Oryzias latipes: one gene and its partner. The protein of the gene in region 1 purifies or fractionates together with the protein of each later gene. This does not show direct contact. Links are inferred from orthologs where the notes say so. Each region holds a gene or a part of one and is shown in the gene's direction. Other genes may lie near its edges.

What was found.
Region 2: the proteins of visual system homeobox 1 (region 1) and usp12 purify together in Homo sapiens (affinity purification with mass spectrometry; 3 studies listed by BioGRID and IntAct, counting the BioPlex papers as one, with this or other methods). This does not show direct contact. The link is inferred for Oryzias latipes from reciprocal best matches to the Homo sapiens genes VSX1 and USP12.

What each region holds. Positions count from the first base shown.
Region 1 is NC_019873.2:12,757,929-12,762,332, forward strand, and holds the start of visual system homeobox 1, read left to right. Parts: upstream 1-1,516; 5' UTR 1,517-1,566; coding exon 1,567-1,984; intron 1,985-2,201; coding exon 2,202-2,277; intron 2,278-2,920; coding exon 2,921-3,044; intron 3,045-3,683; coding exon 3,684-3,879; intron 3,880-4,093; coding exon 4,094-4,383; 3' UTR 4,384-4,404. UniProt on the Homo sapiens protein: Binds to the 37-bp core of the locus control region (LCR) of the red/green visual pigment gene cluster. May regulate the activity of the LCR and the cone opsin genes at earlier stages of development. Dispensable in early retinal development.
Region 2 is NC_019878.2:17,502,221-17,506,711, forward strand, and holds the start of usp12 (ubiquitin carboxyl-terminal hydrolase 12), read left to right. Parts: upstream 1-1,545; 5' UTR 1,546-1,633; coding exon 1,634-1,681; intron 1,682-3,980; coding exon 3,981-4,061; intron 4,062-4,242; coding exon 4,243-4,456; intron 4,457-4,491. UniProt on the Homo sapiens protein: Deubiquitinating enzyme that plays various roles in the regulation of the immune response and inflammation.

The sequences.
Region 1 (4,404 bases):
ATTGTTGAAAAATATCAACTATTGATGAAATCATTGATAAATATTTCTAAAGCAGACAATAATATGTAATGAAGTGAAAATCATATGTAATAAAATGAAACATTTAAGAATAATTTTTAATAAAAGGCTATTCAAAATATTGTATTGACATCAATAAAGACACATAAAGAAGCAAAAGTAAAAAATAACATTCTTTTATTTTGTAAAAGCCACAGACAAAAGTGATGAATAGCAGATGAGTGACTGGCATGCTTCCACCACCACAGCTAACCATCAACAATGCAAAACCCGAATCACTGCAAAGGAAAAAGAAAAAAATGCAAAAAGATATTTTATATTTGTTATATTTGAAAATCAATAAAAATATTGATTTGCCAAAAATATTCTTAAAAATGACACTAAAATAGAAAAAAAAAATGACCAGAAAAAGTAAAACAAAAACTTCTTCACTTAACTCTGAAGCTTTAAACTGGAGATGTCAACATATTTCATTTGATGTATCAAATTATCTGCTTTCTGATTATAGAGTAGAGTCAATATTTCATTTTTCTCCATTGACAAAACGAATGAAAAAGCCAAACTATTTTGTGCTGTCGCCGATTTTAGTGACCCTCTGGAAAATAGAGGGAAAAAAATTCATATTTGCTTCTTAGAACACTTTAAAAAAAATGAACAAACAGGTGATCGTGAAAAGAAGACCCAATAATGAGATCATCAAAAAGAACAGAACGAAACAGCGAAAAGAGAAAATCTTCATCCACCCTCCATCACCCCCTCCTCCCAAATGGAAATCAGCTGCTTGTTTCTCAGAGGACAGGAAGCTGTTCGCGCTCAAATTAGGGCCAAATTGTGGTTTAATCCCTGCAGATTGACTGCACTCTGTGCTCGTGCGCGTGTGTCAGAGAGAGTAAACCGGTAAAAAAAATGGTCAACTGGTTAAAAAAAAGCAATTAGTTTTCAGAAATCTGCTTATCAGAGATAATTACAGCAAATTTAAAGAATCTGGGTTTTTTTTTTGTCTGAAGAGGAAGACATTTCTCATCCTCATCATCTTTGAACTGGAACTAAGGATCAAAACACGTATATCAGTTATGGAAAAATCCATCCCATAATTTAGATGTGGTGAGGCCAGGATCAGCCAACCTGTCGCGTTGAACCGCTTGAGTCCTTGGTGATCTGATGGACTCCTTTATTTAATCAAACTTGACGCCTCGCTCGCGCACACTTTCATGCCCCCCCCCCCCCCATCCAAAAATCATTTAAGCCTTTCTGCTAATAGGCGCGTGCCTGTGTTTGTTTCTGCGCCCGTGACACCCATGATGATTGGTGGAGATCAAAGATAAGCAGCAGAAATCACAGCCCCCCCGACCCAAAATCCAGATCGGATTGAAGGGAAATTGGTGGCAATTAATCCTCTGGGATTGAAGGAGAAAGGCGGGAGAGGGTCACCCCCCCCCCTCCTCCCGCAGGGATTGGCTGCCGCTGTGATCCCTCGGGGTCTGGCCGCATAAATGGACCCGCCGCCCGGCCGGTCCCGCTCTGAGTTCGCTTTGCCTCCTCAGGAACATGACGGGTCGGGAGGAGCTCAGCGACGAGAAGCCCCGGGTGAAGATGCTGGCCCCGGGTTTCGGCATCGACAAGTCTCGACTTCACGGCTCCGGGTTCCGCTCCAAGGGCTTCGCCATCACCGACCTGCTGGGCCTGGAGTCGGACCTGCAGGCGCGGCAACAGCCCGGCGGGCATCCGGGCTCGGGTCTGTCATCGGCGGGCCCCGGGCCGGAGCCGCAGGGTTCAGGCGGCGGGCTCGGTGGGTTCTCGTTCCCGGGAGGCTCCCTGCCACTGGGCCTCGGCTTCCTGTGCAGCCTGGCGGCGCAGCAGCCCGCGGGGGCGCCCTGCTTCCTGCCGGGACACCTGCCGCTGCTGCAGGCCCGCACCGACGGCCACTACCTGCAGAACCTGGAGGCCCAGAGAGACGTATACTCCGGTACGGAACGGCCCGGTTCATGTGTGATTTACCCTTAAAAAGAGGACTATTGCCAAACAAACAGCAAATATTTTATTTTTAATAATAAAAAGAAAATCGAGGCCGAACCGCTCCCTGTTGGTCGGGCTGGTTCGGCCTTTTTCGGTTCTCTTCGTTTATGCTGCTTTGGAACAGATGAGCTGATACCGATGATGACGATGACTGTTCTGCCCCATAGATGAAGAGTGTCTGTCGGACCGAAACGAATCCAAAAGTTCCGGAAATTCGCAGAAGAGGAAGAAGAGGAGACACAGGTGAGGAAGGAGGGGACTCCTCTCCAATTTTGAGATCCAGATGCCTTCGATTAAGTAATATCTAAAAAACAGATACAGAGAAACATCTGGGAAATTGTTTATTCTTTTTTCCTCATTAAAATATATTGAAAATTTTCACAGAGATAATAAACGACAAGTTTTGTCTTCGACCTAATAAAACTACAATTTCGCTTATTTACTACGTTTTATTTAAAGTTACATAAAAGCTACTTTTAGAAATAGTTAATTAACAAATGATCAAAATCGAAAACGAATTGGTAATTTTAAAATTTGGTAGACCTGTTTAGGGATCATTAAGCTTTGCATCATTAACCTTTTTTTATTTATTTTTTACAAATAAACTTTTTACTGCATAAAACAGATATAAGACATTTATTTTAAACAAAACACTTTTAGTAACAATAATTTAAAATGCGGAAAAAACAATAATAATAGTAACTATTTTTAATAATAACTATTATTGTTGTACATTTTTTGCCCCTCATAATTTTTTTTGGGAAAATTAGAGATGACAAATTAAAATATTTGTTTTTTTAATGGAAGTCAGGCATGACTCTAGTCTAGTCCATTTGATCTTCTTTAGGTCTAATTCCTCCACTGAACCTCACTCTGCTTTCTACAGGACTGTTTTCACCTCCCACCAACTGGAGGAGCTGGAGAAGGCCTTTCAGGAGGCGCACTACCCAGATGTGTATGCTAGAGAGATGCTGGCCATGAAGACCGAGCTGCCTGAGGACCGAATCCAGGTCAGGCCCTAACCAGAGATCAGAGCTGGGTCATGTATACAGTACTGAACCAGAACAGAATCCAGAGAACCCAGCAAAGGTTCTAGGTTGTTATGGATAGCACTGAATGGGATTTTAGTTTCATCGGAATCCAGCTGAAACACAGATGTGTGCTTGTTTAATGATCGTTCTACGCACATCCCTCTCTCCTGACAAAAGCTAAAAGCAGGGAGATCAGCCATCCAACAATCACAGAATCAGAATCAGAATCTTTTATTATCATTCTGCAGTGCACAATGAAATTTTTTCCAGCAACTCTCGTCCAACAATATAAAAAGGTAGAATAAAATAAAATAGGAATAAGGAGCTATATAAGGCATAAATACATAAATACTGTACAGTAGAGTGGGGTGAATATTGCACGAGTGGGTATTCCACATTAGAATGGATATTGCACATACAGCATGAATATTGCATACATAGTTTAAAATACAGTCAGAAACACAGATGCCAGTGAATGCTGGAGCCCAGTGCATTATGGGACACCCTCTGTGTCATTTTGCATGGGCATTTGGGGTTAATCAGAATCTGTGTGTGGGGGGTGTTGTTCCAGCCCCACTTATTAATGCGTGGATGTTCTGATTCTGCTTTGTGTTTTAGGTCTGGTTCCAAAACCGGCGGGCAAAGTGGCGAAAGCGTGAGAAATGCTGGGGACGCAGCAGTGTCATGGCAGAATACGGTCTGTATGGCGCCATGGTGCGACACTCCATCCCGCTCCCCGAGTCCATCCTCAACTCAGCCAAGAACGGCATGATGGGATCCTGCGCCCCCTGGCTGCTCGGTGAGCCGCATGCACGTCAGTGCCACGCACACGCACCACACCGGCATCAATACACACGCACACTGCAGCATGCACTCAGTTGACCTGAGGACTTACTGCAGATCTTGCATCTGCCTTTGTTATCTTGACTGCATAGAGCAATAAATAACAGCTGTGTCCAACAAACAAGCATATTATATTCAGAGGTATGGCAGACCGGACTGAATCTGTTCTGACTCCACCCCCACAGGAATGCACAAGAAGTCTCTTGAAATGGCCAAGAAGTGTCCCAGTCCCCCGTCCTTAGACTCCACTCGATCTGAGTCGTTCTGCGACGCCTCAGAGCGGCACAGCACTGCTGGCAAGGCCCGGGACACGGAGGAGGACGAAAGGCTGCTGGAGGAAGACACGGAGGAAGAGGAGGTGGCCATCGACTTGTCCAGCTCCTCCAAACAGCAGCAGCAGAATGAGGGGGGAGCGACAAGGGCCACCTCATCACCACAACAGCAAAGTGGCAGCGAATCAGATGACCATAGCTGAAGCTGCGAGGAGCCTGATGTG
Region 2 (4,491 bases), on another chromosome or scaffold:
GGGCTCTCTAACATTTTCCTCATTTATCAGCTCTTCAAAGTTCTCCTTCCATCTTTTCCTTTGCACTTTTGGAACCTGTCAACACATTTCCATTGCTGTTCTTGATCAACCTACCATGCTGCACATCCTTCTCTGTTGTCTGCCTTAACTGATACAAACTCCCTCCTTATGTCCAACCTGTCATGCAGGTCCTTATTTGCCCTTTGTTTAATCTTTGCCCTCTCCACCTTCACCATGTGATGCATCTCACTGTACTGCCGTCTGCTCTCTTTTGTCCTCTAAGCATTTTACTTTTTCTTTGAAAACCTTTTCCTCTTAACACATTCCTGAACTTCTTCCTTCCACCACCAAGTCTCCTTATCTCTTTTCCTCATTCCATACAACACAAATACCTTCCTCTCAATCTCCCAGATCACTTTAGCTGTCACCTGTTACCCAATGTTACACTCCTATCAGACTCTTTTCTCCCCTTGAATATTTTTGATGAACTCCCCCTTCAGGATCACTCCTACTACATTCCTCTTTCCAACCACATTGTGATAAAACAGCTGGAACCTGCTCCTAATTTATTACCCTTTCTCGTTTCCATCTATTCTCTTGAATATGCAGGATATCCACCTTTCTTTTTTCCAACATGTCATTCAACTGTGTAGTTGTCACTGTCAAAATCCCTACATTCAAAGTTCCACACTCCAAGTCCAACACATCTCTTTCTTTTGGTTTTGTTGCCAACTAACATGGCTTCTTCCTTGTACAGAAGTCTAATCTCCACTGGCACCAGTAGCATTGGTGGCGGTCAGTGTTAACCCAGACCAAAAATTATCTGGAGTCAAAGTTTGGTTCATGATTTGTTCGATTTAGTTTACATCGAATGCCACTCTTGACACAACCTTCTGAATTTACCCGCACTTGGGACAGTGACACAAAAGACCTGAATTGTGCCCTCTTGTGGTGACAGTAATTTTCTAATGACTAACAATATTCACTTATTTTTGGCACTTGATTTGGACATATTATACTGATTTCTGTAATAATGGCATGTCTACTTACGTAATTAATATGTATTTCGTCTTTGTCATTTGATTCTTTAATAATTTTTGATTTTTTTCAATGACCTGCACTTCAACAGGGATCAGAAATTAAGAACAGTATGAAGATAATTTAGGTAAAGAAAAAAAAGCTAGGTAAAATATAACTGGAGGGGAATTATATAGGATCACATCTAGGCAATTAATTTAAATAATTTGACAAATTCAATATTGTATAGTTTCAATGTGTCATGTTCTGTACGTACAAGCTAATGGTGGTATTTGTGATTAAGAGTAATTAGATTTACCAATCTAATTTCTTCAACTCGTATAACTGCCATTATAAAATAAATATACGATATTATGTTGTTCACATAATCAATTTAAATATTTTCTGATAAATCTATTAATCATTCACACAGATGGCAGTTTCGGAAAGTACATTGAGTTAATCAAAGAGGGCTGACTGCAGAAGCGAAACCGGAAGTAGTGTGCGGTGAGTGCTCTCGCGTCCAGCTCCGTCCTCCGCGAGCTCAGCAGTATTTCGTCCTCTCTAAGCAGTCTTGTCAGCGCGCGGCGGTGTTGTGGAAGATGGCGCTAGCCGAATGGAAATCCTAATGACAGTTTCCAAATTTGCCTCTTTTTGTACCATGGTAAGTGGACGGCAGTTTTACATAGTGATTATTAGGACTTTTTGCCTATGTAGAAACTGACAGTACTATGTTATTTGAGATTTAAATCTCGGAATTTTAAATGAAAACAGTGAAAATCGGATTCCCGTGCTAGCCGAGGAGGTTTCTGATGCTAACCGAGCAGCCACCCTCCTCCTTCTGAGCCTCTTCGCTTTTGCCGCAAATCCTTGAATGTTTATATTTGTTATTTATTTACTTAAAGTTAATGCTCCATTATTATTATTTTCATATTTACACGCCCTATTTGGTTGTAGTGACTGTGCACCTGCTGTAGGGGTTCAAAGCTAGCTTGCTAATGTGAAGCTAAAGCAATGTTTAGCTTCCCAGCAACTGGATTGAGGAAAACTTCCGATAAAAACACGTCCGGACTGTGTTTTGAGGGAAGCGTTGAACATTGTAGTGATGCTGCAGCGTCAACTACTATCAAATAACAGTTTTAGTGTTGGCAATGACGACACAGATTATTAGCTGCGCAGTTGTTCTTCAGACAGTTTGCTCGACAGTGGTGATACTAGGATTACATCTCTAGAAGTGCTTTTTCCCTCAGAAGTTGACAGCATCCTCCTCGAAAATAACCGTTATACTAACTGAAAGCTTGTTTATTATATATATAATGGTGCCACGTTTTGTTGCAAAAAGTACTAAAAATAAATAGAATTCAGGAATGGAGGCTGTTTATACAAACACCTGTGAAATGATGGGCTGCACTCTGGAGCTCAGTGAATTCCAGGGTGGGATTGTATTAGGATCCCACCTACAACAAGTCAGTGATTTCATACCATAGTTGGAGGGACATCAGCTTAACCACAAAGTGTCCGTCAGTTTATGTGGGCTTCGAGTGAGCAGATCATGAGACACATGACATGGAAATTTCTGCACTTAAGATCTGATTCATTGGTATAAAAGCATAACATCACCAGACCGTAAAGCAGTTGAGATGTGTTCTTTGGAGTAAGAAATTCAGGTTTTCCATGTAGCAATCACATGGATGTGTTTGGGTTTGATGTTGGTCTGACTGCACTGTGCTAAATGTGAAGTTTGTTGAAGGAAGGATTATGTTTGTTTTTCTGAAACTGGGCTTGGATCCTTTGTTGTAGTGAAAGAAACTATGAATACATTTCGATACTGTCAACTGTCTTTGGGGGGATAGGTTTAGGATGTTTTTGTTGCTGTTTCAATATGACTGTGTACCAGTACACAAAGGAAGATCCACAAAGACCCTCGTCTTTGGTGTGGAAGAACTAGTCTGCACAGAGGCCTCTCCTTAACCATCCTTTGGGATGAACCAAAGTGAAGACTCTAAGACGGACTTTTTCATCCAACATCGTTATCAGACCTCACCATTTTACCTACTGAGAAGAATGGAAGTTGTTATCGATGAAAATGATGGACTGACTTATGGATTATGAATAAGTACTTGTGGAAATCCAACATTCATCCCTCCCTCCACCCCTTCCTGCCTTCCTTCCCTCTCTCCCTCACTCTTCCACTCATCTGGGACCATATTATGCAGGAATGTTTTAATAGTCTAAAAAAATGAAAGAAAACAAATCTATTAAGTAAAAACAATTTAGCTTTGATGAAATTGTAATTGTTACTCTGTGGACCGCTACCTACATTTTGTTTTGGATAACATAAAAATTATCTTCTTATTCAGTCTCTCTCTCTATTTATTTATTTTTTAACAAGTTGTTGTGCAGACTGAGTATTTGAGTTTAAAAATAGTTCAGATGCATTTGATTGGTGCACATAGATTTGGAAGCAACTTGGCACCAATTCCTTTAAATAAAAGGATTCCTAATAGTTTTTTCCAAGTTGACATGGGCTTTAGAGGTAACAACCCCCCTAGAAAAAACCTAATCTCAGTTTATCGCTTATTAAATGTTAACAAGTTATGGTGACTAGTTTTTAAGTTTCACTTAAATAGCTTCAAAATAATGTTCAAAATCTATTTACTTTCAATGCTCGGTCTGATACATTCACCCAAACAGGGTCGAAAATCAGTTTTAATTAAATAACTCTTTGTAACAAGATTAGATGCTGGCTCATGAGCTGAAAAACATATATGATGATGGTGATTGTATTCTTGAAATGACAAAAATATTTTTAAAATCTGTCCTTTTGAGCCTCAAAACTTTAACCTTTTGACCAAAATGTGACCTTTAAAATCATGGTTGCATGTAAAAGTGTTACTAATGTGTTTGTGTTATTTTAACAAAGGTAAGGTGACTCTTGGTGCTTGTATGTTGTGGTGTTTTAGGGCGCCAATGCCTCTGCTCTGGAGAAAGAGATTGGATCTGAGCAGTTTCCGGTCAACGAGCACTACTTTGGTCTGGTCAATGTAAGTGACTGATTTGAAGTGCAAAACTTTATTTATTTAAAACTGTTTCACCTAATTTAAATGATACTCTTAAGCAGCTCTCAGCAGCTTTTTTATTAGCACATTTTTTTGTTTTTAATTCATGAGATTTTTGACAGTTATTATTTTTGGGTTATTGTACATTATTTATTTGTGTTTTTAGTTTGGGAACACCTGCTACTGCAACTCGGTGCTGCAGGCCCTTTACTTCTGCCGGCCGTTCCGGGAGAAGATCCTGGCTTACCGCAGTCAGCCTCGACGGAAGGAGAACCTGCTCACTTGCCTCGCTGACCTGTTCCACAGTATTGCCAACCAGAAGAGGAAAGTGGGTGTCATACCACCCAAGAAGTTCATCACACGGCTACGCAAGGAAAATGGTGAGTGGAGAATGATCAAACTTGTGAGGAAATCA